Lonchura striata: one gene and its partner. The protein of the gene in region 2 purifies or fractionates together with the protein of the main gene of each other region. This does not show direct contact. Links are inferred from orthologs where the notes say so. Each region holds a gene or a part of one and is shown on either strand. Other genes may lie near its edges. The genes, in order: NOP10 and NAF1.

The links.
Region 1: the proteins of NAF1 (region 2) and NOP10 purify together in Homo sapiens (co-immunoprecipitation; 6 studies listed by BioGRID and IntAct, with this or other methods). This does not show direct contact. The link is inferred for Lonchura striata from reciprocal best matches to the Homo sapiens genes NAF1 and NOP10.

The regions. Positions count from the first base shown.
Region 1 is NC_134639.1:2,427,024-2,441,604, forward strand, and holds NOP10 (H/ACA ribonucleoprotein complex subunit 3), read right to left. Parts: upstream 6,411-14,581; 5' UTR 6,369-6,410; coding exon 6,315-6,368; intron 6,155-6,314; coding exon 6,014-6,154; 3' UTR 5,843-6,013; downstream 1-5,842. Other genes in the region: leucine-rich glioma-inactivated protein 1-like, read left to right, coding at 416-718; uncharacterized protein LOC110481739, read right to left, coding at 1,889-1,896, 1,980-2,023, 2,478-2,508, 2,718-2,830, 2,934-2,957, 3,777-3,833, 4,205-4,878. UniProt on the Homo sapiens protein: Required for ribosome biogenesis and telomere maintenance. Part of the H/ACA small nucleolar ribonucleoprotein (H/ACA snoRNP) complex, which catalyzes pseudouridylation of rRNA.
Region 2 is NC_134606.1:39,334,136-39,350,237, forward strand, and holds the start of NAF1 (H/ACA ribonucleoprotein complex non-core subunit NAF1), read left to right. Parts: upstream 1-8,905; coding exon 8,906-9,672; intron 9,673-11,303; coding exon 11,304-11,439; intron 11,440-12,931; coding exon 12,932-13,025; intron 13,026-16,004; coding exon 16,005-16,087; intron 16,088-16,102. UniProt on the Homo sapiens protein: RNA-binding protein required for the maturation of box H/ACA snoRNPs complex and ribosome biogenesis.

The DNA of each region.
Region 1 (14,581 bases), on a different chromosome or scaffold from region 2:
TCCCACCACCCATCCCATGGTGCCACCACCCACCCCATGTTCCCACCACCCAAACCATCCCAACCAACCCAACCCAACCCAAGCCAACCAATCCAACCCAACCCATCCCAATCAACGCAACCAACCCAACCCAACCAACCCAACCAACACAACCCAACCAACCCAACGAACCCAACCCAACACAACCCAAGCAACCCAACCAAGCCAATCCAACCCAACCAACCCAACCCAAACAACCCAACCAACCCAAACAACCCAACCCAACCAACACAACCCAACCCAACCAACACAACCCAACCCAACTCAAACAACCCAACCAAACTAACCAACCCATCACAACCCAATCAACCCAACCAACTCAACCCAACCTAACCCAAACAACCCAACCCAAGCCAACCAACCCAACCCAACCCAGGTGCTGCGCTGGGAGGGCTCCATGTTCCGTGAGGTGCAGCAGGTGCCAGCACGCGGCTCGCTGGTCTTCCAGCCGCTGCTGCTGGCCGGCCAGCGCTACGTCCTGCTGGGCAATGACTTCGCCCCGAGCCGTGTCTTCCGCCTGGGCGCCGGCGGCCGCCTGGAGCCCGCCCAGGACCTGCCTGCACCCACCCCCCGTGCCTTCGTCCCCGTCGTCGTTGGCCACCGCCACTTCCTGGTGGCCTCCAGCTTCAAGGGGGCCACCCAGATCTACACCCACGTCACCGAGGACGTTGGCACCTGAGGGCATGGCCAGGGCCACCGCCATGTCCCTGAAGGCACAGGGACATCGGGGAACATCAAGGGACATGTGGTAGCTGTTGGTACATGGGCACGATGGCCACCATGCCACCATAGAGATGGGGACATTGGGGGACATCATGGGGACATGTGGTGGCACCTGGAGGAATGTGGTGATGATGGCCACCACATCACCATAGAGATGGTGACATCAGGGGACATCAGGGGTCGCGTGGTGGCAGCTGGGGATGGTGGCCACCTGGAGGGATGTGTGGTGGCATCTGGTGGAATGTGGGCATGGTGGCCAACCCAATGTGGAGATGGGACGTTAAGGGACGCTGTGGGGACACTGGCAGGGACCTGGGGCCACCCTCGCGCGATATCCCCAAGGCCACCGGCGACCCGGAGTCCCCAACAGCTTGTGCCACCTCCTGGTGTCACCGTAGTCCCAATGTCCCCAAGGCCACTACTGACACAACATCCCCAAAGCCACTGTCACCCCGATGTCCCCTCCTGGTGCCACTGTGGCCCCAATGTCCCCAAGGCCACCATGGCCTTTATGTCCCGAGTCACTGCCACCACAATGTCACCCTTGGCCTTGTGTCACTTTCTGGTGCCACCATCACCACGATGTCCCCTCATGGTCCCACCATCGCTCTGATGTCCCCAAGGCCACCATGGCCCGGATGTCCCCTCCTGGTGCCACCATCACCCAATGTCCCCAAGGCCACCATGGCCCTAATGTCCCCTCCTGGTGCAACCATCACCCGATGTCCCCAAGGCCACCATGGCCCTGATGTCCCCAAGGCCGCCATCGCCACGATGTCCCCTCATGGTCCCACCATCGCTCTGATGTCCCCAAGGCCACCATGGCCCTGATGTCCCCTCCTGGTGCCACCATCACCCAATGTCCCCAAGGCCACCATGGCCCCGATGTCTCCAAGGCCACCATGGCCCCGATGTCCCCAAGGCCTTGTGTCCCCTCCCGGTGCCACCGCTGTCCCGCCGTCGCCATGTCCCCTCCCCCGCTGACCAAAATCCGTTTTTTTCACCCATTTTTTATTCATTGCCTTTCCTGGGGACATTTTGGGGACATTTCAGGGAAATCAACGCCACCCCTTCCCCCCTGTCCGGTGTCACCTGTCAGGGACATCTGGGGACACCCGTGGACAGCTCAGGCTCCTGTGGAGAGAGGGGGGTGGTCAGGGTGGTGGCACTGTCCCGCGGTGTCCCCAAAGTGTCCCCAGGGGGGAGGGGACACTCACTTGTCCCAGCTAGAGGTGACAGCTCTGGGGTGGGGTGGCGACGGCTGCGGGGGGGAGGGGACACCTCAGTGTCCCCAGAGTGTCCCCAAGTGTCCCCAAATCCCCCAAATGTCCCCAAGTGTCCCCAAATCCCCCAAATGTCCCCAACCCACCCCGTCCCCCATGTCCCCGACCCCCCAATGTCCCCAAAGTGTCCCCGATGTCCCCAAATGTCCCCAATCCTCCAACCCCAAATCCCCCTCAGTGTGCCCAAGGTTCCCAAAATGTCCCCATATCCCCCAAAGTGTCCCCAGTGTCATTCCCCGATGTCCCCAAATGTCCCCAATGTCCTCAAGTGTCCCCAAAATGTCCCCAAATGTTCCCAAATGTCCCCAATGTCCCCAAATGTCCCCAATGTCCCCAAATGTCCCCAGGTATCCCCGAATGGTCCCGAATCCCCCAAATGTCCCCAGATGTCCCCAAATCCCCCAGATGTCCCCAAATGTCCCCCGGTCTCACCTGGCCTTGCTCTGGCACTTGCATTTCCCACCTGAGGGGACACAGGTGACACAGGTGACAGTGTGACTGGGGTGGCACAGGTGACACACAGGTGACACAAAAGGCACAGAAGTAACACAGAAAGTGACAGGTGGCAATGTGACACAGGTGACAAGGGTGGCACACAGGTGACACAGGTGACAATGTGACACAGATAACACAGAAGGTGACACAGGTGACAGTGACAGGGGTGGCACTCACTGAGCAGGACAAGGACCCCCAGCACGCTCAGCACCGCAGCCACCGTGAGGCCACCGACGCGCAGGTGACACCAGTCTGGGACAGGGACAGGGACACTGGGACAGCTGGGGACACTTTGGGGACATTTGGGAACACCTTGGGGACAGTTTGGGGACATTTTGGGACATTTGGGGACACTTTGGGGACATTGGGGACCCTCCCAGTTCCCGCACTCACCTAACTAGAAGGGACTGGAGGCATCTGGGGGGAAAGGGAGGGGTCAGAGAGACCAGCAGGGACCAGTAAAAACCAGTATGGACCAGTATAGACCGGCATGGACCAGTACAGACCAGCACGGACCAGTATGGACCAGTATAAACCAATTTGGGCTTTCCATCCCAGTCCTTCCCAGTCTGTCCCAGTCCCTCCCAGTGTGTCCCAGTTTGTCCCAGTCCCTCCCAGTTTGTCCCAGTCTGTCACAGTCCGTCCCAGTTTGTCCCAGTTTGTCCCATCTATCCCAGTCACTCACTGGGGGTGTCGCCTCTGGCCAGGGACAGAACTGGGAGGGGGAGGGGACAACAGTTAAACCAGTTTGGGCTGGGACTGGGCCCAGTTCCCCCCAGTTATCCCCAAAATCCTCCCAGTACGGAGCAGCCCATCCCAGTATGGACCAGTAACCCCTGAAATCCTCCCAGTACAGACCAGCCCATCCCACTATGGACCAGTAACCCCCGAAATCCTCCCAGTATGGACCAGCCCATCCCAGTATGGACCAGTAACCCCCAAAATCTTCCCAGTATGGACCAGTCCATCCCAGTATGGACCAGTAACTCCCAAAATCTTCCCAGTATGGACCAGTCCATCCCAGTAACCCCCGAAACCCTCCCAGTCCCTCCCAGTTCCCTCCCAGTAACCCCCCAGTTCCCTCCCAGTATAAACCAGTTACAAAGACCCCTCTGTGCCAGTGTGTCCCAGTCCCTCCCAGTACAAACCAGTCCCTCCCGTAACCCCCCAGTCCCTCCCAGTTCCCTCCCAGTTCCATCCCAGTTCCCCCCAGTCCCTCCCAGTACAAACCAGTACCTCCCAGTATCACCAGTGCCTGGAGCTGTTCCCTCTCCATTCCGTGACCTTTGATCCCTGGGGGGTGGAGGGGACTGGGACAAACTGGGACAAACTGGGAGGGAACTGGGACAAACTGGGACAAACTGGGAGGGAACTGGGAGGGAACTGGGGACCGGTGAGTCACTGGGATTCCTGAGCAGGGCAGAACTGGGATGAACTGGGACAAACTGGGGGGAGCTGGGGGGGACTGGGACCAACTGGGGACTACTGGGAGAGAACTGGGCAAACTGGGAGAGACTGGGATGAACTGGGGGGTTACTGGGATGGACTGGGAGTGACTGGAGGGTTACTGGGAGGTTACTGGGAGTTACTGGGATGAACTGGGAATCACTGGGGGTTACTGGGAATTACTGGCATGAACTGGGAATCACTGGGGCCCCACTCACCTTCCCAGAGCAGCCGCAAGAACTGGAAATGGAGGGGGAGAACTTGGAGGGGGCGTGGCCAATGGAAAATGGGCGTGGTCAATGAAAAGGGCGTGATCAACTATGGGGGCGGGGCAGAGGTTTGGCCGCGGAAGGACTGGGATGAACTGGGGGATACTGGGACGAACTGGGAGTGGCACTGGGGGATACTGGGACGAACTGGGAGTGGCACTGGGATGCACTGGGAGGGACTGGAGTGGCACTGGGGCTGTACTGGGATGAACTGGGAGGGACTGGAGGGGCACTGGAGCTGGACTGGGATGAACTGGGAGGGACTGGAGGGGCACTGGGGCTGTACTGGGATGAACTGGGAGGGACTGGAGGGGCACTGGAGCTGGACTGGGATGAACTGGGAGGGACTGGAGGGGCACTGGGGCTGTACTGGGATGAACTGGGAGGAACTGGAGGGGCACTGGGGCTGTACTGGGATGGACTGGGCTGGACTTGGATGAACTGGGAGGGACTGGAGGGGCACTGGGGCTGTACTGGGATGAACTGGAAGGGACTGGAGGGGCACTGGGGCTGTACTGGGATGAACTGGAGGGGCACTGGGGCTGTACTGGGATGAACTGGGATGTACTGGGAGGGACTGGAGGGGTTGAATGGGCTGGTCCCCCGCCTCCGCCGCCTCCCATTGGTTGAGCCTCCCGCCCATCACCGTCTGCAACCAATCAGCGCCCGGGAACAGCACCTGGAGGCGGGGCCTGGAGCCGGCACCATTTTATCGACTTTGAGTCTACAAGTCCCGTCGTGCACAGCGGCCCCATAGCGGCCTAACCGAGCCAGGACTACAAGTCCCGTCAGGCCCGGCGCCCCTTATCCGCCTCCATGCGCCCCACAGGAGCCCCCCAGACCCTGCGGGACCCCCGAGTGCCTCCTGAGCCCATTCGGGACCCCCGAACGCTCCTCGGACCCGCAGATGCCGCAAACCACACAGAGGCCTTCGAGTGCCACCAAAGGGACTACAGCTCCCACCATGCATCGCGGTACGCACGGAGCGCCATTAAAGCTAGGACTCCAGCTCCCGTCATGCCCCGCGGCCACAGAGCCTCCTCAGAGCCGAGTTCAGGCCCGACAATTCCCGTCGCGTCCTGCGCCCCACAGACACCCCTCAGAGCTCCCCGGGTGCCCCCAGGGGCTTCCCGACCCCACAGGGTGCCCCTGTAGACCCACAAGTGCCCTCCCGGACCCCCAACCGCTCCGCTACAGCCACTTCCGGGACTACAGCTCCCATCATACCTCGCGGCGCCCATCGCGCGCATTTACTGCCATGCCTCCACTTCCCGTGATGCCTCGCGGTCTCATTCAGCTCCATTAAAGCAGCGACTCCATCTCCCGTCATCCCCCGCGCCCCATAGAGCCCAATTATACCCGCACCTACAACTCCCATCATCCCCCGCGCCCCATAGAGCCCAGTTATACCCGCACCTACAACTCCCATCATCCCCCGCGCCCCATAGAGCCCTGTTATACCCGCGCCCCATAGAGCCCCGTTAGCGCTTCCCCCAATACCCCTCTAAATTCCCTCCCCAGACCCTAAAAACCACAAAAATACCCCCAAAACAGGAAAAAAAACCCAAGGTATTTGGATACCAAAACTCAGAGACCCTCGACTTTTAATACTTCATTTTTCCTCCTCTTTAAAACGTTCCTTTCCCCCCCATTTCCGTGCAGTCCGCTGGCATGGCGATTTGACCTTTTCTCATGGCGGAGATCCGTCCCAGGAGCTCGGGGCCATCTCGGGGCTCCGCAGCGGATCTCTGCGGTGCCTCAGAGCACGGTCCGGCCTCGCTGCGTTGGCAAAACCCCGAAGCGCCGCTTCAGGGCCAGGCGGTGCCGGGAGAATTTATCATCGGGGGAGAAGCGGGCGGGGTGCGCCGAGCGAGTGGGGACCCCGTCCGGGGACACCTTCTGTGGGGACAGAGCGTCAGGGAGAGCCCAAATCCCCCCCTCAGCACAGTCCAACTGGCCCGCATGGCCCCAGCCCGCACCGCGGACACCCAAACACCGCGGGTCCCCTCAGAGCCATCCCCTAAATCCCCCCAAAAGCGCCCCAAAAAGCGCCCAGTACCCGCAGGGTGTAGACGCGCTCCCCGCGCTCGTTCTCGTAGCACTGCAGGAACATGGCGGCGCCAGCGCGGCACCCGGCCGGAAGTCGCCTCAAGAGAAAAGGAAAGAAGGCGGTGTTTACACCGGAAATTGGAGAGAGGGGTGATGGGAAATGCAGTTCCGGAAGCGAGCGGGGAGTACCACTCAACCTGGCGGGTCCGAGCGGGGAAATTTGGGGCCAAAAAAGGAGATTTTGGGGTGAAAACGGGAGTTTGGGTCTAAAAAGGAGGAATTTGGGCACAGAAAGAAGGAATTTGTGTCCAGGAAGGGAAAGTTTGGGCTCAAAAAGGGGGATTTGGGTCCAAAAAGAGAGAATTTGGGCCCAAAAAGGGGATTTGGGCAAGAAAAAGGGGAAATTTGGACCGAAAAAGGGAAATTCGGTTTCAAAAAGGGAGAATTTGGACAAAAAAATCTTGGGAATTTGTGCCTCATAAAGGGGAATTTCGGTGCCCAGATGGGAAGTCTGGACCCCAGAAGGGGGAGTTTGGGTCCAAAAATGGAGAATTTGGGCCATAATTCAGGGTTTGAGCAGAAAAATGGAGCAGTTTGGACCTAAAAAGGAGAATCTGGATTTTTAAAAAATGGGAGTCTGACCTTAAAAATTCAACCCAGGGAGGCAGGGGGAAAATTTTGGTGTGAAAAGTGAGTTTGGGTTCAAAGTAAGGAAGTTTGGGTCTGAAAGTGTGAGGAACAGAATTGACGGTTTGGAGTTTTTAAAGTTTATTAATAATAAGAATAACAGTAATAGGATAAAAAAAGGAGAATAATTCCAGCAGGGTGACAGCGCTGAGGCGTGTGCATAGTCATGATTTTGTTATTTGTGAAAAACTCGTTGTGTTGAAATTTTAGGAGTTTTACTTTTACTCGTAAATCAATCTTTGAAAATCTGAGATTTCCAGAGAAGGAGGCAACAATGTTTTGGGTTTTTTTTTTTTTTGAGATTTTGGTGTCTGTTGCTGTTCTTTTAATATTGTCCTCTAGGCTAAAAAGTGTATGTGCCACACTGCTGAAAAGAGATGAATACAGGAAAAAAATTAAAATAGATTAATACAGGAAAAATTTAGAAGAGATTAATACAGGAAAAATGTAAAAGAGGTTAATAAAAGAGATTAATACAGGCAAATTTAAAATATTAGTACAGCAAAACTTAAAGGAGATTAATAGAGGAAAAACTGAAAAGAGATTAATATAGGAAGAATTTAGAAGAGATTAATATGGGAAAACTTAAACGAGATTAATGCAGCAAAATTTAAAAGAGGTTAATACAGGAAAAATTTAAAAGAGATTAATACAGCAAAACTGAAAAGAGATTAATACAGGAAAAATTTAAAAGAGATTAGTGCAGGAAAAACTTAAAAGAGATTAATACAGGAAAAAGTTTAAAAATACTAATACAGCAAAACTGAAAAGATATTAATACAGGAGAAATTTAAGAGATGAATGCAGCCAAATTTAAGAGATTAATACAGCAAAACTTAAAAGAGATTAATACTGCGCTATTAAAATGAAAAAGAGATTAATACAGCCAAATTTAAAAAATATTATTACAGCCAAATTTAAGAGATTAATACTGCATATCTTTCCAACATAACACATCATGTATTAATTTTAATATTTGCCAAAAGCCAGTCATATAATCTGCGATTTTCAGTTTTCAAACATTCTTTAAAATTTCTGAGGTTTTGGGAGCTCCTTTGCCTGACTCCTTCACTCTCCGGCTCAAAGACATCCTGAGGGTTAGGATTTATTATTTTATTTTATTTTATTTTATTTTATTTTAATTTATTTTAATTTATTTTATTTTACTTTATATTATTTTATTTTATTTTGTTTTGGTTTTTTTGGTTTTACTTTTTTATTTTATTTATTCTTGTGTCTCCGCCCTGCTGTTTCACAGCCTCTGATGATATTTTAGTATGTGCTCCTGAAATTAACATGGTGATCTCTAATTATCCTTGTTAATTTTAACATGGTGTTCTCTAATTGTCCTCCTACATTAACATGGTATTCTCTAATTGAACTCATTAAATTAACATGGTATTCTCTAATTATCTTCATTAAAATAACATGGTGTTCTCTCATTTACCTCCTTAAATTAACATGGTGTTCTCTAATTATCCTTGTTATTTTTAACACAGAGCTCCTTAATTGTCCTTGTTAATTTTGACATGATATTCTCTAATTGTCCTCGTGAATTTAGCATGGTGTTCTCTAATTGTGCTCCTGAAATTAACACAGTGTTCTCTAATTGGCCTCATTAATTTTAACACGATGCTCTCTAATTGTCCTCCTTGAATTAACATGGTGTTTCTTAACTGTCCTCGTGAAATTTGACATGGTGATCTCTAATTGTGCTCCTGAAATTAACATGCTGTTCCCTAATTGTCCTCGTTAATTTAGCATGGTGTTCTCTAATTGTGATCATTTCTGCAGGTGGCTGCAGGCAGGAGCACCTGGAGCAGCACTTGGTAGCCGCACTTGGTATCTGTCAAAAGCTGTTGCTCCTTCCTAGAATGATTTTTGCTTGGAAGTGATAATCTGCGACACAAAAACACCATCCACTGTTGACTTCCAGAGGACAATGACATTCTTACAGATATAGTGTCAAGTTTCCTTGTGTCCTTCTGTTTTTTCTTGCTTTCTGGGAAAGAACATCAGCCCAGCATCTGATGCGCAATGCTCCAGTTGCTGCCTGTCAGGTTGTGGCCAGCAGCTCATGTCCAAAGACAAGTGGGTGCTGCCTTCTGGGCAAGGGAATGGACAGGCACGAGCAGAGAATTTCCCTGCTGAAGCTGGGAGGAACCTGGGGAAGTGCAGAAGATTGGGATAACGCTGGCATGAGAGAAGCTGTTCCATGTCTCTGATGACGGTGCCAGCAGTGTGAAGGAAGAGCCAAGAGAAGTGCTGGAAGAAGACACATCTTGGCGTTTTCTGCTGTTCCATGGACACAGAACACACTTGTTCCCATAGCTCCCGAAGACTTGATGCAGGAAGAAAAACATTCAACCAAAGGATCACCAAAGGCCAAAAGGCTTTTGGCCACTTTCCCTTGCCCACCACAGGCTTGGGCAACTTGCCGAGTGCAAGCGCCCTTTTTCCCCTCCTCCCCATTGGCCTGAAAAATCTGGGCACCAAGAGAAAGCTCCTGGACCTCCGGGTATGACAACAACAATTTATTAATGCTACTCTGGGGTGAAAGGAAGGGCTTGCAGAGGGCAGTTGTTCCTCGCAGGCTCAGGTGGCCCCAGCAGACGCAGCCTGGCGGATCAGTTCTCCACAGCGCTGCAGCAGGACAGCCAGCCACGGCGGCACGGGAAAGGCCGTGACTTCCAGAGCCGGCGGAGTTGATCCTGCACATTCTGGAGTCGGGAGGAGGGAATGGCCTGTACAGCTAAATTGATGTACAGGGTTTGAAGGGCCAGGCATGAGATGGCAGGGCTGACGTCATCCGCCATGTCCTGAAGGGCTACGAGAGAGAGGAACAGAGCCACCGTCAGAGCCTGCGTCTGCAGAAACATGGGGAGACCCTCCTGCCACGTCCATGCCAGGCAGCTCTTGCCATGGCCTGGAGGAAGCAGGAGACAAGAAGGGCGAGCTGGAAGGTGCTGGCCACGAATGTGCCACAGGCCCCCCAAAAGGTCTGTGTGCTGTGCCCACGCTGCCCTTGGTGCGTGCCGGGCCAGGGAAGGCAGCTGCCAGCGGCAGCCCCCGCTGAGAGCCCGCTGGCCTCACTCACCCCTGCAGAGGATGCGGAACTCTTGCTGCTGTCCTCTGAGGCAGCGCCCGGCCATCCCTTGGGAACAGAGAGCGTGAGCTGGCTTCAGAGCCACAGCTGCCGCCCGCGGGCGCTGCCCGGCCCGAGGCCACACGGGCTCCTGGCCCGGCAGGGCTCAGCCCGGGCCCCTGGCGCATCCTGCTGCCCCAGGGCACGGCTGCCAGAGGGCGGCGGCAGCGCCGAGGCCAGGCGGGGCTCCAGATGGCCGAGCGCGGATGCTGCTGCCGGGGCAGCAGGCGGGGCTGGGGCCGAGCTGCGGCGGGGCGGGGAAGGAGCCGGGCTCGTGGCTCACCCATGAACCTGACGGCCGCCTCTCGCAGGGGCTCCTGTGGGCTCTGCACGTAGGGCAGGGCCCGGCGCAGGTGCTCGGCCGCTCGGCTCCTGTCCTCTGCCAGCTGCAGAGAGCGGCGGGGCACGAAGGGAAGGGTTGGTGCGGGCCCTGCCCCTCGGCCTGGCGCTCCCTCCGCCCGGCGCCGCTCCCCCTGCCCACACAGCGCCGAGGCCCGGCCAGCAGCCGCCGGCGCCGGGCTCTGCAGGGAGCAGAGGGCCCGGCGAGCCGCGGTGCCGCCCCGCGGCAGAGCCCGGCTGCCTCGGGGCTCCCTCAGCACCGGCCTTGGGGCCAGAGGAGCCTGGAGCAGAGCCCGCGCGGCCCAGGGAAGGCAGCGGCGTGTGGGGCGCCGGCCGGTGCCCCTGCGGGCAGCACTGGGCAGGGGCCGCAGCTGCCAGGGCACAGACTGGGCACCGTGGGCAGGCGGCTTCTCCAGGCCGGGGCTGGGGCTTCCGGGCTGTGCTTACCAAGCGCTCGGCAAAGCTCCACATCTGATCCGTCTTCAGCAGCTGCTGAAGATCCCTTCTCTTCAGGAACCTTACTGCAGAAAGCAGCGTTTCCCGAGAGGCCTGCAGAGCGGCAGAGAGCCAGAGATGGCACCGCAGCCCAGGGCACAGGAGCCACGTCCCCGTTCCAAGGCCAGGAGGGAGCTGGAGCCCATGAGGAGGAGCCAGGCTGTGGGGAGACAGCTGAGCCCCCTGCCATGGGGACCCCGGCGCCCAGGAGCCCTCACCTGTGCCACACGCCAGTTCTCATCGTGGCAGTTGAAGAAGAGTGGGAGCAGGCTCTGGCTCACAGGCTTCTTCAGGGGCTTTTTTCCCTTGGCCACCACCAAGTTCATCACCTCTTGGAAGAGGCGAACGGAGAGCAGCTTCACAAGGGTGTTGTCCTGTTGGAATGGAAGCAAAACCCCTCCACAACAGCTGCTTCAGGACCCCCTGTGCACAGGCACAAGGCACCAGGCTTCCAGTTGGCGCCTGGTGCCCGTGGCTGGGGGCACAGAGCCTTACATTGTCAAAGAGTTGCCAGAGCGCCTCAGCCAGCTGCAGGGCAATGGGGCTGGCTATTGCAAGGTCTTTGTTGCAAAGCAGAGAGCTGAGAACAACGACGGTCATCTCAACAATGTCTTCATCCACGGCCAGCAGGAGTTTGCCAAGGCTTTCAGTCAGGCTGTACATTCTTCCGTTCTGTGTGGAAAACAAGGCTGGGGAACCTCACGCTGCTGCTGCTGCTGCAGGGCTCAGAGACCGAAGGCCTGTCCCAGAGTACTCAGGCCGCTGAACAGCCACCCTGGAGAGCTGGAAGCAGCTGCCACAGCTCCCAAAGGCCAGCCAAGCCCAGGGGGCTGCTTTCCCCAGCCCCACGCTGCCAGCACAGCTTCAGCTGCTGCCTCCTTCTCACCATCGAGGGGTCCTGGCTGAGCACCACGAGGCCTCTGAGCGCCACGCGACGCATCTCTCTGGACTTGCTCTGCAGGTGCCTTGTCATGATCTGCAGGACGTTTTCACCGTATTCACTCAAGTCCAGGCAGTCCAGGACCTGAAAGGCACGGAGCAGTGACAGGAGTGCCCAGCTGGCAGGAGCTCAGAACCGCACAGGGCTGAGCCAAGGCAGCAGCACAGGGCACCATCCCTGGCAGCTGCGGCTACCAGAGGGCAGAGGTGTGGGAGGCAGCTGAGCGAGGCAGCGCTGGCCATTGGGCTCACCTCCACCAGGAAGGCCAGGGCAGGCAGTTCCCAGTCTGAATTGTCTTGGCTGAGTAAGTCAAAGAGGCAGGATGCCATGCTGCAACACCAGATGATGGAGACACGGCGCATCTCCCTGGTGGGGAGAAACAGGCACCATTGCTCCTGAGCTGAGTGGCCAAACCTCTCCCAGGGCTGACTCACAGAAGTCTGGTCTTCTCCCGAGCACTCCCCAGCACGGGTGCTTTGGGAGGCAGCTGCTCCAGGGCACCCTCCTTTCCCAGCCCATTCCAGTCTGCTCATCCCTCCCTTGAGGGCAAGGCCCTGCCGCCCATGAGCACAGGGACTGCGTGGGGTGATCTGGGCACAAAGGAGAGGGGCGGTGGGGAGAATGAGGTCTCACCTGGCCAGCAGACCCACTGCATAGTGGTGGGTGTTGGCACAGAGCAGTGTGTCCCAGGCACACCTGCGTTCCATTGCTAGCACCACGTCCTCGTACTGCATTTGGCAGAGCAGGGCCTTCAGGGTCTGCAGTGCAAAGCTGTGTGCAGAGCAAAGCCCAGGTCACGCTGGGAGGCCCGGCTCCTGCCTTGGGAGCATGGCAGGGATGGGGAGACTGGGAAGACTGGCATGGAGCACCTGTTGGGGTGGGCGGCAAGGCCGTGTTGCTCCTGGCATCTCTTCCAGAAGGTATCCACCTCTTCTGGCATATTCAGCGTGCTGATGTAAGCTTGGAAGAGCAGACGCAGAAAGAGGTTGGGGAAATACTCCAGCACTACAGGTGGACACCAGGTCAGATTGAAGAGCCTCCACAGTGTCAAGGTTGCCTGCAAGAAATAAAACAGCCAGAGACAGCAATCAGTGCCAAGACATGCATGTGGCATGGCCTCAGCCTGTGAGGGAGAGGCCAAGGGAGACACATGGGGAGCAGCCAGCCTGGTGCCCCAGAACCTTTCCCCCAAGCCAGGTTTCAGCCCAGCGCCTGAGGCAGGGAGATGCAGCTGGGGGCAGGGCAGAGAGCAAGCTGCTGGAGAGGTGGCCTGGGGGCTGGCAAAGGCCGCTTCCAGAAACTCACAGCCAGGGCAAAGACCCCTGTGCTGTCCCCATCGGAGGTGTACACGCTGTCCTCTGGCCAGGCGCTCAGCACATCGAGAAGGATCTGTAGCGCCGGCTCCGCGGTCCTGCTCGAGGACATGATGGTCCCCCACATGATCACGGCAGCCCTGTGGGGCCAGAGCTCTGTGTCAGGGGGGTCTCAGCCACAGCAGCGTGGCCTGGGCAGCTGCAGGGGCCTGCACTGGCCCTCAGCCCTGCCTCTGACTCCTGGCCCTGGCTGGCAGCAGCCAGCCAGCCCACGTGGGCCCAGGCCCTGAGGGGCAGGGAGGGAGCATGGCAGCAGGCTCCGGAGTTGACATGCCAGGACTGGAAAACAGAGGGGCCAGAGGCTCCTGGAACTCTCCACCTGTCTGTCAGGGACAGGCTCTACGGGGTGGGGGGGCCGGTGAAGCCTAAGGCCTCAAGGCAGGTGGGGATGCCATGCCTGTCACACGATGGGGCCCAGCGCAAGAGAGTGATCAGCACGTCACAGGGGTATTCCTTGGTCAGCTCCAGAAGGGCCTTGTCCAGCCTGTGCTCAGCAGATTTGTTGGCCGTGAGCCACTGGTGGATGTACCTCACCATGGCTGGCACCTACAGAAGGCACAGGGAGACTTGGAGAGCTGCCAGGGCAGCAACTTGCCCAGCTTCCCCTGAGGAGTGCTTCCCTTTCCACCACATTGGGCTGGACCTCACAGGCTGAGGAAGCCCAGCAGACCCAGCAAGATGTGCCACACCATTCCTGGGGCAATCAAGCCCTTGCCCCAGACTGCTTACTTGCTTTGCATTGGAGACACCCTTCTCCACCAGCAAATTCAGCATGGCAGCACTGGTCTCAGCACTGAAGAGGTGAAAGCTTGCCAAGATCCCGGTGCGCACACCAATGGTCTCTTCCTGCCTAATGCACGTGATGAATTGACAGATGGTCTGCAGGAGAAGAGCAGGAAGAGAGAGAGAATGCATGGAGTGCTCCAACCACTCTGTGCTGGGCTGAGCAGTGCCAGCAGGCCCAGCCCAGATGGGGATGGCCACAGGTACCTGCGCTGTTCTGCGGAAGCGGCCATGGGCGGGTTCCTGTTCTTGTGTCCGGTCCAGGGCTGCATCTGGTAAAGAGCGAGCGCGGCCAGAGCTGCTGAAAGGCTGCAGGAGAGGCTGGAGAACACAGCCCAGCCCTGTTCTCGCCCGGCAGGGAGAACCTCGCAATGCCCCAGGGATGGAGCTGCCATGTGGTTCAGCCCCAGCCCAGCTTCTGTCGTATCCATGGGCATGTGCGATGGGATGGGATGGGATGGGATGGGTTGTGGCCAAGCTGGCTGCAGCCACCAGCCATGCAGCCCAGCAACCCA
Region 2 (16,102 bases):
GCACACTTTTTTTTTTTTGTGAGGATCATCCACTAATTATCATCATATAAATGCAACAGAGAATGCAAATGCATTCCTTTCTTCAGTAAAAATGTTTATAGTGTTTTTAGTGCCATACTGTCATTGAAATTAGCCTTTTGACTAGAAAAAGTAAACCATTTCTTAAAAGGATTAATTTATTTTTATTGTTGGATAAAATTCCTGAAGGTCTCTCAGGAAAATTCTGCACATAAAAAAAGAGTAAATAAGCATGCAGCCACATGAATTACGTCTGTCTCTTGGGCAAGGTCAAGACAATTGTGCACATATTAATAAGCTGACTGAGAAGTCTCTAAGTGTGTACAACAACTCAGAGCATCCCTTCTGCATGTCACTTAGTGAACCCAAGCAGATCACGACAAGAGATCCTGTGCACTAGCCATTGCTTCAGGATTCCTGTATGTTAGGATGTTTCAGGAGAAACAGGAACTGCTGCCCTGAGAGAACACAAAACCATCTCTGCTTAGACAAAAGATGCATTTAGGTGAATATCCTGTCTTCAGCAAAAGATGACAGTACTCATCTGAAATAAAAGTGTAATTAACAAAGCTGGCATAGGTGCTTCTAGTCTGCAGCAGTCTGTGGGCCAGGAATTTTCTACAGGCAGGAATGTAATCTTTATAATTATTAAAAACTTGTGAGTATCCAAAACATTCTGTGGGGAGAAGTTCTATAGCTCACTCTTCTATATTGTGTGAAGGACCATCTTTTTTTTTCATCTTGACCTGCCATATGAAGGTTTTAATGTTTTAATGTTTTAAGCCTCTTGTTCATCACCAAGAATTGTTTCTTATTCATATTCCTCCTAAATCTCTGTGGCAGTACATGTGGATTGTTTTTGCAGACTGAAGAAGGCTGTCTGTTTAGTACAGAATCTTCCCTACATTTCTTCCAGTTCTGCTCTATCCGATCTGACATAAGGAATTGCATACGATATGCAAGATACAGAAGCATAGTCAATTTATTTTGTAGCATAATATTTTTTATGTTATGTTCTCAGTTTATTTTTTTCTTTTTCTTTCTTCTTCTGTCATTGTCTTTCTCTTTTTCCTTTTTTTTTTTTTTTGGATTCTTACAGAACACTCAGCTACTGCTTTCATAGACCTATTTATTATAATTGTAAGGTGTTTTTCAAGATTTATTTATTTTCAGGGATCTATTTTAGTATCTGTAAAGCTAGGACTCTTTTGTCTCATATGTTTGATTTTATAAATTTTCTTTCTGAAATTTTCCTACCTTCTATCACCCAAGCACTCAATCTTACAGTGTTCATCTGCAATTATTCACAGTCACCCATGTGTCACCTACTGTTATTTGTGTATAGGTTAGCACATTTTGCCACCTTATTGCTTTCCAGATCTCTTGTGACAATAGATAAAACAAAGTTTTCATATAAAGTTTGTCCATGTCCATATATATCCATCCTCATCTGAGTCAAGATGTATTACAGGCAGATTAAGCACGTCAGCTCTTCTATATATTCAAAATTCATTTAAAAAAATTAATCTGCAAATAGAACAGAGATCTGAATTCAGAAACTCACATAGAGTTTCTGGACTCATGGTTCAGGATGAAAATAATAATAACAATAACAATATGGATTACTTTTCACCAGCTTAAATAAGTGGGAACTGAATACTGGTACTGCTGATCCCATTTGCACGGTACCCTCTCCTGTTGCCTGGTCAAAACTGAGGTAATTTCTGTACCAAATGGCCACTCAGTGGACAGGGAGAAAGGTTTTGATAATTTCATAAGGTCTGTTTTACTTTCTTTCTGAGGCACTGTAGTAGCATTGCTTTTCATCTTATTGTACAGTTCAGCAAACAAAAATAAATATTTTTCCATTTTGCGATGTAGAGAGTGGACATTTTTCTAGTCCTTCTGGACCAACCATGATTCACATGATTGTCTGAGATTGCAGGAGCCTGAACATAATGAGCCACATCTCTTCTACAGTTGTGTTCCTTGGTTCTCAAAGAGCCTATCAACAACACCAAATTACTACAAAAGAGCATGATTAAGTCAAAGGGAAAGGGAAAGGGAAAGGGAAAGGGAAAGGGAAAGGGAAAGGGAAAGGGAAAGGGAAAGGGAAAGGGAAAGGGAAAGGGAAAGGAAAGGAAAGGAAAGGAAAGGAAAGGAAAGGAAAGGAAAGGAAAGGAAAGGAAAGGAAAGGAAAGGAAAGGAAAGGAAAGGAAAGGAAAGGAAAGGAAAGGAAAGGAAAGGAAAGGAAAGGAAAGGAAAGAGAAAAGGAACATGGCATGATAAGAGAACTCCTGGGACAGATGGAGGGGCAGCATGAAGCACAACTTCCCTGAATGCGAAACCAGAATGTAGGATGAAAAGCAGAGGCAAAGAATTTAGGAAAGCCCTGTGCAATATATATTCATTTTAGTTTCTTTCCACTTTCTTCAGATAATTTTGACACTTTGGGTACAACTTATGTATGTGATGTGAAGCGATCTTGCTTTTTCTGGTGACTACTTTCAGAATAATCACTGAGTAAGTGATCTCAACTGAGTTTGTGCCTTATTGGTGATGTTATGAGAGATTCCATCTACAAGATTTTCAGTTTTGTCTGAAGATATTGAGCTCATAGGCACTATAATTTCTCTCAAGAATAAGATAATGTTTCACCAGACAGGTTTTCTAAACTTACTTTTTTCTACAGACACAGTTTTACTTTCGAGCTTTGGAACTGACTTGCAGCTCTCATGAGGGCAAGGTGATGCACACTTACCTATCAGTGAGGAATCAGTAATTAAAATGGAGCATCAAGGTGGTGTGCTTTCAGTAGCCATTTTTGCTAGGCAGACATGCTTGCATTTCCTGAAATATTTTTATTTTTTGTAAGTTTTAGGTGTTGGAAACTTTTTTTTTTGTTGTTTGATTTTTTAAGAGTACAGAGAATTATAATTAAGCCAAAAGCTTAATTGATTCTCGGTGGTTCAGTCTGAAGGCAATGGAAAGATATGAAGGCCAAATGAGCATGCATAAAATTCTTAAGGACATAATGATTTCCCAAAAGCCATTCAATGAGTCTAGATATGTAACTGTCTCACCTGCTGGTCTCCTGTATATTCTTCTTACCCTATGCTAGACTGCTTTCTTCAAACTCCAAAGAAGTGCCTGCTTATGGTATTCCATGCAGACCAGTTTTTGTTTCAAAGGGACTTTTTAGAATTTTTCATACTCCTTCTGTTATCCTGTTTCTTTACATTTTGGAAAAAAAAAAACCCAACATAAACCAACTAATTCTTCCTTATGAGTACAAGGAGATACAACTTTCAGTTTTACTCGTGTCTGCAAGGACAGAAAGGCTGGCACAATGAAGCACTCAGAAAATAAGAACTGGAGAAAAGGTAAAACCACCTCTTTTATTGACAGTGCCAGTTTATGATAGATTAAAGTTATCCAAATACAATGTAAGAAATGCAGTCTGAGATGTAAAGTGTTCAGAAATCTACAGTAAAACATCTGAATAAAGTGACAATTATGACATAAGTGGATTAAAATTTACAATCTTTAATTTGTTCACTGATTTCATGCTTAATGTCTGTCATATATTGGCACTTTAATAAGTGCCTGTCTACCCAAAACATTGCAAGCATGGAAAGAATGTTAGGCTGTGCAGACAAGATGAGATGGATTGGTTGAGAGCATATATCTGGACAGAAAGAGAGGCCTTCCCGGCTCCAAACAGTCGGTAAAGGCCTCTGAGAGCTACAAAAACTTCACTTTTGTGGAAGACACATCTGAACCATGATAATCAGATAAAAACCCCAGTTCACTAAAACTACTATTTCTTACATAGAGGTCATTACAGGGAAGCCACACTCAAATTTACTTGAGTTACTCTGCCCAAATGTGAGTCCCTACAAATTCCAATACACTGACTATGCTGACAGTTGAAATTTCAGAGCTGTTTATACATACAAGAATAAATCACATTTATAGATGCAGCCTGGATCCAGTTGGTTTTGTAACAAATTAAATTATGGTTATATTAGTATAATTCAAAATTATGAGTGAAATAAAGTAGAAAAAGAATGCAGTAGACTCCAATTATAAATAGATGTCATTGACAAACAAACTGTACAAACTCTTAGAATAATTGGAGGTGAACTTGTCCATTGGTCTGTGAAAGGATTTGGAATGCTACTGTTGAAATTGGTTGTGGGCAGCTCAGTCATGGAAAGATTACTGGCTATATTTGGAAAAATAAACAACAATAAGAATATGGTAAATAACATTGTACATTTTTTCCATATTTAAAAATGTATTTTGGGGAAAAAAAAATCCTTCGAAGTTCAATTTTTTTATCTAGTTATAAGCTGCCCAACTCTTTATATGAAAAAAGAACTAAGAAATTTGTGCAATTTAACTCTGTACATTAATTTTAAGCTTTGAAATGAGTAAAACATTCTGTACCGTAGCTATTTTAATCTCATTTCTGTACTAGATATCTCAGCTGTGCAAGCTACAATATTGATTCATCTGGGTGGAATGAAATATGACTAGCAATAGGGACACAGAAAATTCTGTTGATCTGATTTCTTTTCCCTCCCACTGTTCCTGACCATGAATACCTTAGCTTCTAATAGTTCAGGCAGAGTGAAAAAAAAGGCTCTGGGATCAGAGCAGTAGCTTCAAAACTGTTGGAAATTTAAGCTCATGATTTCCCTATTGTTGTGGGACAACTCCCTTTCCTCTTCCATGCCACTCTAGAAGCTTGCAGAATCACAAAACAACCTGAGTTGGAAGAAACCCACAAGGATCATCAAATTCAACTCCTGGCCCTGCACAGGACACCCCAAGAGTCACATATTTGCTCGAGACCATTGTCTAAATGCTTCTTAAACTCTGCCAACTGGTGCTGTGACCACTTCCCTGGGAGCCTGCTCCAGTGCCCAACCACCCTTGGGGAGAGGAAACTCTCCCTAATATCCAACCTAAACCTCTCCTGACACAGCTTCATGTCATTCCTTTGGATCCTGTCACTGGTCACCACAGAGAAGAGATCAGTGCCTGCCCCTCTGCCTTCTGCTTGTGAGGAAGCTGTAGACCATTATGAGGTCTCCTCTCAGTCTCCTTCAGGCAGAACAGACCAAGTGACCTCAGCTGCTCCTCACACAGCTTCACCTCCAGACTCTCCACCATCTTCACTGCCCTCCTTTGGATGCTCTCCAGTTTATACCCTTCTTATATTGTGGTGCCCAAAACTGCCCCCAGCACTCAAGGTGAGGCTGTTCCAGTGCAGAACAGAGTGGGACAATCCCCTCCTTTCCTGGCTGGTGATGCTGTGCCTGATGTCCCCTAGGACAGGGCTGGCCCTCCTGGCTGCCAGGGCACAATCACTCATGTTCAGCTTGACATTGACCCAGACCACCAGATCCCTTTCCATAGTGCTGCTCTCCAGCCTGTTGTTCCCCAGTTTGCACATAAATATAGGATTTTCCTATCCCAGGTGGAGAATCCAAAACTTGTGTTCCTTAATCTTCATACAGTTGGTGATTACCCAGCCCTCTAATTTGTCTGCATCTCTGCAGGACCTCTCTGACTTTGAGGGAGTCAATGGTTGCTCCCACAGGCAAACTTAAGAGCCCTTAGAGTCCTGTGCCCAAGTTGTCTATGCAGACACTGAAGGCCACTGACCCTACAATGGAAGCCTGAAGAACCCCTTCTGTGACAGGCTGCCAGTCTGATGTCACCCCGTTCACGATGAACCTTTGCAGCCAATTCGCGAGGCAGCTGCTCACCCTTTGTATGACGTTTATCCAAGTGTGTGCTGGACATTTTATCCAGAGGGATCCTATGAGAGACAGCATTGGAAGCTTTATTGATATCAAAAAAATATATCAAGCAGGCTTACCAGCTGCTTATACTACTTACAGTACAGTGATATAGTGATATAGTGATATAGTGATATCACTGTGTATAGTCATTCACATATGGAAGCATAAAATATATAAATTATAAAGATCACAGTGAATAGTGTTTTAAAATATATAAAGAAACATTACTTCCTTTCTTATTCGTACCTTTTCTTCCCAAGACATAATAAGCAGGACACTGAAATCTCCAACCTGTTTTCTATATTCCAGTCCAGGACAGATATGACGATGAAACTATTTCTTCCAACAGACTCCTTTATTGCATCCAAAGCATTGCAATAAAACATTGTAATAATAGTTTGAGTTCCATCACTTTAGCTTTAAAAGTGCAATGGGAACAATTATGCACACCCATCTTAGCAGCAAGAATGAAGAAATAAATGTAGGAAACAACACCTCCAGAGAGCTTCATCAAAGATTGGAGGCAGAAAACAGAGCTTACAGTACCTTTTATCCCAGCCTTGACAGATGATGTCAGATTCCAGTCCTAGCAGTGACATTTCTTAACTGCTCAGACCTTGAAAACATGCGTTGGAACTACTGTGATTCAAGTGTTCATCTCTGAAATGTTTCTTTTCCTAGAACATCTCTTTGCTCATGCTGTTACGTTGCAGATTATTTACTGCATGCCTTTGCTGAGTGGATGACGATGTTTACTCTGCATTAAACCTCTCAATATCTTCATTCTAAGAGCAATGCTATTTTATATGTTAAGGGGGATAAGTGGCAGCATTCAGATGAAATAAAGTATCTTTCTTGTCTGAAAGATGCTGCCAGTTCTGCACAAACACAGAGGAAACTGTCATAACACAATCTATGTGCCAGAGTAAAGCTATAAATCACTTACTAAAATACTTTAAAAAGCAGGAAAGACATGATTCATAAGACAGATGAAGAATTTTACTTACATAAATGCAACATAAAGACCTGAATATATTTTCACATTTCCAAGCAATGTGTGATAATAAATAAATAAAATTAATTTTAATTCAATTAATTCCTTCATACATTATGGCATTAATTATTTTACCTTTTTTAGGAAAGGCTTTGGCTGATGAAAGGGCTTTGTCTGCTTTGGTGAAATTATTTCCTTCCCAGTCACACTGATCAACTTTTTCACACAAACACACAAATCTTGTATTATAGTCTATTTCAGATACATCTGACAAAACAAATGAATAAATTAAAAAAGAAATCCCAGTCTAATAATAAACTGTCTTTGCTTAGTTTTAAAATGAAACCTGGTTTTGCAGAATTTGATTTTAGTGGGATTCTGCATCTATTCATTGTTTAATTGGATACATATTTCATTTCTGTCACTTTCTTAGGGATTAAAATATATTTGCCAGTGAGATTCAATAGAAACCATTTTTATAATTGTTCAATATTTAATCTCCAAGCAATTGACAATTAATTGTTGTTGACATTTAATTGCATGATTTTCTAAAGCTCTCTTTTGTTAAAGAGCTTGCAGTACAGGTCAGTAATATTCAGAACATGCTTCCCACGTACACTCATCTCAAGATCCCAGTGCTGTCACTGAAGGTGGAGATGATTCCTACCCTAGGTGTTCTGAGTAATTGTGCAGTGAGAGTTTACTGCTGCTGTATAAACGTACAGCTCATACAGGCTCCTTGCCTATGACCGTGCAAAACTATCAAATGCTCATAACATACCTGTTCTGCTTGACCTATACATAATTGTAGACAACTGAAAAAAAGTACTGTTGAATTAAATTATATACAAACTTGGACATGCATGACTTTCCTACTAAATAAAAATCTGCTGGTTGCTTCTGTTATGTCATAATGGAGAGTGGAACAACCAGAGAACAAATCTTCTGTCATCAGATGCTCCCTTCAGCCTGTGTTGGTTATTAGTGAAGCACTCTTGTGACAGTGGGCTCAATGTAGCCTTGCCATTCTGGACAAGAATAAAATGTTTTGGGCGCCATTTGAGCTGTGGGGCACACAGCCCTGGAGGAGAAGGTCATTACATGGAAAACGTATCATTCTCTGCTCTCATCAGATATTCAAGTCCCAGTCTCCTCTGGCACTTCCAGCATTATCACATGCAACTTTTTCAAGTATTTATCTGTTTTTATCTACTTATTCTCCTGGGGCCTATGCTGTACTCTGTTGCCTGGTAATGAAGCCCATTTGGAATCCGGTCCAAGGGACAGTGTGGTGTGGTCAGGGACACACAGCGCTGGCCCAGGAGCGCAGTTGTCAAAGTACACTTTAGAGGCTGGGTTAAAGGGACTTGTCACCCTAACAGTGATCTCCTGATGCTGTGTGCCTTTAGAACATCTTTTGGCATTTCCCAAGGATGAATTGCACTATAGAGAAAACGTAGTGCTTTTTCTGCTGTGTTCCCTTGTGAGGAAAAGCTTTATCTGTGTGACACCAACCACACAGAGCAGTCAGGAGGGACCTGAGTCGGTTCCCTCCTATGGGAACCGTGTGCCACATCCTGGGATGCCAAGAGTCCTTCCCATCCCCACGGAGCTGCATGAGACAGACACCTCGGAAAACCTAAAGCTCCAAAGCCGTAAGTATTTATGGTGAACCAGAACACAGATTTATTTTGGAGAGCTTGGCATTATTGTACAGTCACCATCAGTATGGAGTCACTACGTCAATGTACTACAAACTACTATTAGTACAGTAATTTGGTATTCTACAGCTTTTTTGTCGTTGTTGTTTTTGGGCTTTTTTTTAGTTTTAACTACATGATTCTGTGTGTTGTCAGCACAGAACCCCTCCCAGCAGGTTCACAGTAAGAGCAGCTCTAGCTCTGTGTCTCACTCAGCCGCCACAGACACCAAGGCCGGCCGCGGAGCTCCCCCTGCCCGGAGCCGCCCCGGGACTGGCCCGGGCCCGCCTCGCTTCGGCGCACGCGCACGGGGGCGGCTCGCGGCGGCCGGAAGTGGCGCGCGCCGGGGGCGGTGACGCGGGGCGCGTGGCGCGGGAATGGAGGGGCGGCTGGAGAACCCGGCCGTGGAGCCGGGCGGGCAGCCCGAGACGGTGGAGCGGGAAGTGGTGGAGCAGCTGGAGAACCCGGCCGTGGAGCTGGGCTGCCAGCAGGAAGTGCTAGAGCAGCTGGAGAACCCGGGTGTGGGGCCGGGAGGGCAGCGAGAGATGGTGGAGCAGCTGGAGAACCTGGCCATGGAGCCGGGCGGGCAGCGGGAAGTGGCGGAGCAGGTAGAGAACCCGGCTATGGGGCCGGGTCGGGAGCGGGAGATGATGGAGCAGCTGGAGAATCCGGCTGTGGGGCCGGGCCGGCAGCGGGAAGTGGTGGAGCAGCTGGAGAGCCTGGCTTTGGAGCCAGGCAAGCAGCGAGAAGTGGAGCAGCGGGAGAACCCGGCCGTGGAGCCGGGCGGGCAGCTGGAGGAGGTGGAGCAGCGGGAGAACCCGGCCGTGGAGCCGGGCGGGCAGCTGGAGGAGGTGGAGCAGCGGGAGAACCCGGCCGTGCAGCCGGGCGGACAGCTGGAGGAGGTGGAGCAGCGGGAGAACCCGGCCGTGGAGCCGGGCGGACAGCTGGAGGAGGTGGAGCAGCTGGAGAACCCGGCCGTGGAGCCGGGCGGACAGCGGCAGGCCGACCGGGAGCTGGTGCAGAGCCCTGCGGAGGGCGCCGGGGAAGTCCAAGGCGCTGTGCCCCCGGCCGCGGGCCCGCGGCGCTCGCCGCCCGCCTGGCCCCGCGGTCCCGCGGCCGCCGTGCCCTCGTCGGACTCGGACAGGTGGGTCCAGCCCCGCCTCGCCCCGTGCTCCCCGAGGCCTCGGGCGGCGGCGCGGGCCGCTGGGGCTGTGGCTGAGCGCCAGAGAGCCCGGTGTGTCTCCCCCGTCTCGCTGTTTCACCCTCTGGAGCTTGCTCCTTCCCATCAAAGGTGTAATTTCCAGTTACATTTGTCTGGGAGCCTGTTAAATTAGGTCTCCAGATCAGTGCCTGTAAGGGTGTAGGGTGTAACGATGGCATGAGTTTGGTGGCTGCCGCCTGGAGAGCGTGGGGCGCCCGCCCCATTGGCTTGAGGTAGTCCTCAACAGAACGCACCTGCGGCTTTTGGGGCAGGACACCCGCAGTAGGACTGCTGAAAAACCTGAATGCAGGACTAAAGGTGGCGAGTCTGCACACCATACCATGTTGGCATCTCAGTGGAAAAGCTCATTCACGTTTATTTTTTATTTAATATGGTTCCATATTGTACTTGAGGCATCTCTACTTCGATGTTCAGTATAGTTGGTGAAAGGTTAAATGTGGGCTCTGTTGCAGTGTTAGAAGTCTGCACACTTCGGTTGTTGCAGTAAGTCTTGTGTTTTCTTATTTGGCTGGTACAGCAGGATGGCCATGTACTTCTTTTGACTAGAGAAGGCTAAAATAAAGTCTAAGAATCTTCTTTTAAAGATACCAAGCTTCATTAAGAGTTAATTGATTAAAGTTTGACTTCAGAAGTACTTTTGTTGGTTCAAAGTTTCCTTGAATATCATAAAGTGATAGTGAAATTCCTGACTTCAGGGGCTTCACCCATGTGTAGTGTTTTTTACTTTCAAAATCTCTTGTGCTGATAAACATTAAAGATGAAATTTTAATAACTACAACTTATCTGTTTTGCATATATCTCAGTCTTTGTTTTGTTTTTAACTTTCTTCACTGGTCGGTATCCTAGTCTGATTTTTTTGTCTTTCTGTTGTATTGATACTGTTCCAAGAAGTCCATATTTGACCTTTTCAAAAGGTTTATTTGGAGAGGTGCTCTTATTTCTTGTCATTACTATGAGCATTTGTTGTAATAAAGAAAGGAGCAATAGAAGGCCACCCACTTACTTGGGAATGAGACTGGTATTACAAGAATCTCGAAAGAAGTGTTTTTTTTTGGTTTTTTGGGTTTTTTTTTTTTCCTTCAGGTAAGAAAGGTTATTTTGCATAAGTTTGCTTATCTCATTGTATTTTCATGTGTTAAGTTCGTATTTCTTCAGTTACTAGGATCAATTGTTCCACATTTTTTTCTTCCACCAGCCCTTGAAGAACTTGGACCTTTGCTAAAACAAGCATGTTGACATGAATAAGGACTGGTTTCTTACTCTACTTGAAATATTGAGAGTCTAAGACAATAAATATCTCTTCACATGTGACAGTGAGAAATACTGAATTACTTTGTGAATATTTACCAGGAGATTTGGACAGGACATGAATTATGAAATGAATCCATTTTATTTACAAAAAATAGAATTTTCTCCCCTTGACTGCAAGATGCATTACTTGGAATAAGTATTTTCTTAACTTTCATTCAGCATTATGCTAATGTTGGGATTTTACAAGAACAGTGACTGTGAGAAGGCAGTATTGTAACTCCCATATTTTTTTTTTAATATAGTGATACAGATTCAGATAGTTCATCAGCTACACTCTTCTCTTCATCTTCATCAGCAGTATCTGATGAAGATGATCATCCAAATGAAAAGAATAACAGATCTTACTGTCTTAGGACAAAGGATGAGTTGCCTATTGATGTAAGTACAATGCAGTATTTTTTAAACCCTTTTCTACTAACCCAGCTAAAAATTTATATATTAAGTTAGTCCTCCTGTGTCAAGATGGGGATAGAATCAGAATAGTAAAAGAGAAACTCCAAGGCTGAACTAGACACAGTTTAGTGGGTAAAGCAAAAGCCACCCACACAAGCAAAGAGAACCCAGAAATTAATTTACCACTTTCCATGGACAGGCAGGTGTTCTGCCATCCCCAGGAAAGCTGGGCTTCATCATGTGTAACTGTTGCTTGGGCACACAAACAGCATCACTGGAAATGTCCCTCATTCTCCTTTTTCACCCAGCTTTGTATGCTGAGCATGATGTTACATGGTATAGAATGTTCCTTTGGTCTGTGCAGGTCACCTCTCCTGGCTGTGCCCCTCCCAAGTCCTTTTGCAGCTCCTCACTGGTGGGGTGGCATGGGAGGCAGAAAAAGCCCTGGCTGTGTGGAAGCCCTGCTCAGCAATAATGAAAACATCTCTATATTGTCAGCAATGTTTCCAGCACAGATCCAGAACACAACCCTGTAACAGCCACTGTGAAGAAAATTGGCTTTTCTGCAGTAAAACCCACCACAGTTAATAATATAAAAAATCGTGTTTTACAGGTATATGTATTAAGGAGTGTTAGTGGAACCATTTCAGAAATCTCTTGCTTTGAAACAAGGATTGGCAGATACTGTATATAATGTGGCAGAAGGTATTTTGAGATACAGGATCACAGTTTTATCTTCCTGCTTGTCTTTGGTGTTTCAGTTCTGTTATAAAAGTGACTCAGTTAAGTCTTAGCAGTGAACTAAGTAAATTTTGATCCTTATATGGGAAAACCCCTATTTGAATATTGTGTAGCACTCATTATTATATCTGAAGTTTGGTTTTTTGTGTTCTCTCTGATGTCTAGTACCAAATGCAGCTTTCAGCTAAAAATAATTCTTTGTATAAGTTGTTGTGATGTTTACATCTTTTATAGTGATCCAAGCCATGATGTAAATGGACAGACTCCATTTTGTAAATCAGATGATACACATCTGGTGCATTTTATGCTATATTGCTGTGTACATTTTTTATGCTATATTGCTATATTGCTGTGTACATTTTTCTTCTAGCATACATTGAGTGTTGTTGCAGGTGGTCTTATTTTTTGATTTCTGATTATTGTGTTGTACATGGCTTGTGAATGAAATGCCTGTCAATTGTTGGCTTTCTCCTGCTAAATAAAACTGGCTTCTGCCATAGTTGTGATGGAAATATATAGAGTAGTGTCTCTGTAGGAGAGATTTTCTCAAAAGTGGTGGTCCCCTAAGATGAGTTCATTTAGGATGATTCTGAAAGAGGCAAATCAAACTAGTTTTTTTAACAATAAATCTTAAAAATGCCAGGGGATTTTTCCAAACTGTCAAATTTCTGCAGTGACAAAGTGGTAAGTGCCTTTGTGTGATATTATATTGTAAACATTGACTTGATGTTTGCAGAAACTGCCTCCTGTTGAAGACTTATCAATAATTCTTCCAGATAATGTTGAACTGAAACTCTTTGGGACAGTTTCCAGCGTGATTGAGCAGCTAGGTAGGCAAGATATGTTTGCTGTGTTCTTAATTATTATAATTTCTGTATATCTCTGCATGAATTGTGTTCTTAGCTGGTCCTTCAAAGTGTCAGTCCTGCAGCATCCCATTTCTGGGGGTAGCAGGTTGCTGAATTGGAATTCTAACTAGCATTTGTGTTCAATTACCTTTTGTTTGGCTTATATGCATGTGTTTCTGTGTGACTTCCATGTTTAATTTTTTAATTCAAACACCTTTATTTCTGTTGTGTATTATGGCTTTTATATTGATACTGGCCACAGTTATTGTATTTAAGTGTTTTAAGAAAGTCTTCCAGTTGTAGTTGCTATTTTTGAATAATCCCTGAATATATAGGAGCTGTATAACTGAAAGCGCAGATACAATACAATGCAGTCCCAAGTGCTTGCTTGTTAATATATGAGGACAGGTAAAAGACTTGTTTATTCAACAGTGGAAGTTCATTTATTTATTTTTTTATATATTTATTCATTCCACTTCTGGTACCTTGAGCTGCCCGTTGTCAGCAGTCAGATGATGGTGTGACTAACATGATTTATAGGTGGAGGGTGAGCTTTAGATATTGAATGGATGTAAACTTAACCACAGGCATAGAGATTTAGGGATCTTTTTGGATCTGTGTGGGACCTCAGTATTTGATAAATGAAATCAAAATTTTGCTGAAGCTCATATTACTAAAATATTCACAGTATGTTTGTATTAAAGCTATTTCAAGTGTTTCATTCTGCTTGAACTGCATTTCAAGCAATTTGCTTATGCAAATTAGAAATTAAGTTCAATTTTGAAGTTACAGTATTTATGCTGAATGTAGTACAAAAGAAAGTAAGTAACTTTTGCTATTAATTTTTCTTTTAAAAAACTTAAGATAATACAGGCAAGTCCTCTATTTTATTGTGGTGAGGTTTAATTTCATTCATTTACAGGAAGCTAAAAGGAGGGTGTGGAAGGTAGTGATCTAGTTCTTTTCTACTTTGTCCTTTCTTGCGTATTGATAATAATGGGGACTTCAAGAATGTTGCTTTCAGCTAAAATGGTAGTTTGAAACCAAGTTTTAAAAACAAGTTGAATTATACTTGCTATTATTCTTACTTTTGGTTTAAAATGTGAAGGTATAAACAAAACTATTTTAAAGACTGCAGTTTTGAAAACCATCCTTAATTCTAATCCTTACTGGTGAGTATAATCTTTTCAAATACCAGTTTACTGGTAGGCGAATTCTTCACCTACCAGGCTGCATCCTACTTCATGTAATGTACATCTATAAAGTGTTGCATTAAATTTTTTGGTGAAAATTAGAAAACAAGCTCATAATCATAGTGAAATAAAACCATATAAATGGGATAAACTCCCAGGATATTTGGGATTATTTTCTTGCTTTTATTACCTTGCTTTATAACTTTTCTTTCTCCACATTTTAGTTTGTTTTCAGTTCTTCTGAAAACAGCCCTCAATTTCACTTGATTTGTGGTTATATTAGGGATGCCAGCTGATTGGGGATTTTTTTTTTATTTTTGAACTAAATTGATACCTCTGTATACCAAGTTTGTATCTAGTCTGAGGCGAGTTGATTCCTCATTTGGAAGCCACCAATATTATTCTGACATAAGTGAGTATTCTTTTTCTGTCCCTTTGATGTCCCTCAGAATTTCTTGCTGTTCTCTGTAGCAAACGTCCAAGTTCATCAGTTTGCAGTGAGTGATACTTCTAAGTGGATATTTCATCCTGTGAGGTAAATTTGAGGTTAAAACAGTGTAGGCTCATGCTTGCTGTGCGGTAGCTAAAAGCAAAATGACAGTATTTTCTATGAACTTCTGCTCAATGTATCAGAATTTAACAAAACTTGTGCTGTATCTTGCGTCAAGGTACTTAAAGAGAAGAGAAAAATTCACTGTGTGGGTTGGGACCTGGAGAGTAAACAGCTTTGGATATGAGAAACTTTCCCTGTGCTTTGGGCCCTGCAGGAGTAGAAGCTGATAATTCAGGATGGTTTGGGGTAGGGGAAGCTGTAAGTCAGGCTGGAGGTGGTAGTGTTTCTCCTAAGTTTCATTGGACTGGTGCGTTGTATCTTTTCCTCAGCCTGCTGCATGCTGGGAGCTGCATGTGGTGAATCAAGTTGAGAACATTATCTGAGGTTTTGGTGTTGTTTTTGTGTAGGGTTTTTTTGTGTTGATGTTTGGGGGATTTTGTCTGCTTTTTTTTTGCTAAGGTATTTTTCTCATGAGGTTTGAACAACACATAAGGTTACATACACTGTATATTTTATCTTAAAGGTAGGCACAAGAGAAATTGATTTCACAAATTCTCTTGAAATTCAGTGAACTGTTAAGCCTGTGGAATTGTCATTTCCTTGTTTGGCACGTTAAGTTTTTTGCTGATTGCGTTAGTAGCAGTAGCTTTTAGGTTGGTGACATGTTGATTGCTGAAAGTCCTTTTATGTAAGTTTAGCAGTGATGATCTTGAGCTTTTATTTGAGCCTGAGTGATGCTGTATACTTGAGTGACTTTATTTGCTGATGGACAGTCATTGAGAAAGCTTAATTGAGCATTGTGTTGTTTTTCAGGTAGAGAAGTTCAATCATCATTAGGCCCAAATGTACTACGAGACTTCTATGGCATTAAATTGCAGAATGTCTAACAGATGGGGTATATGCATATATAAACACCATCAGTTGCTACTGTGACTGAACTGCCAGACAGTTTTGTGTTCTGGTATGATTCTTAGGACTCTTTCTCTCTTTACCCCAGAGAACAATAATTCTGTAACCAATATTAGCATTACCACTCATGTATAATTGAGAGGGGGTGTGTGATTCTAAGTACTTTTACACATGTGCAAGAATATTTGGTTGCAGCTCTACAAACTTAAGTAGACAAGTAGTGGTGTGGTTTGTTAAGTTTTACCACAATAAACTACATGCTGTTAAAACATAAAGTTCTAATTAATTTTTTTATTTCCATTTTAGTAATAATTGAATCACTGAGAGGCCTACCTCCAGTAAATGAGGAAAGCATAATTTTTAAAGAAGATCGGCAAGCAGTAGGAAAGGTGGGTGTAAAATAA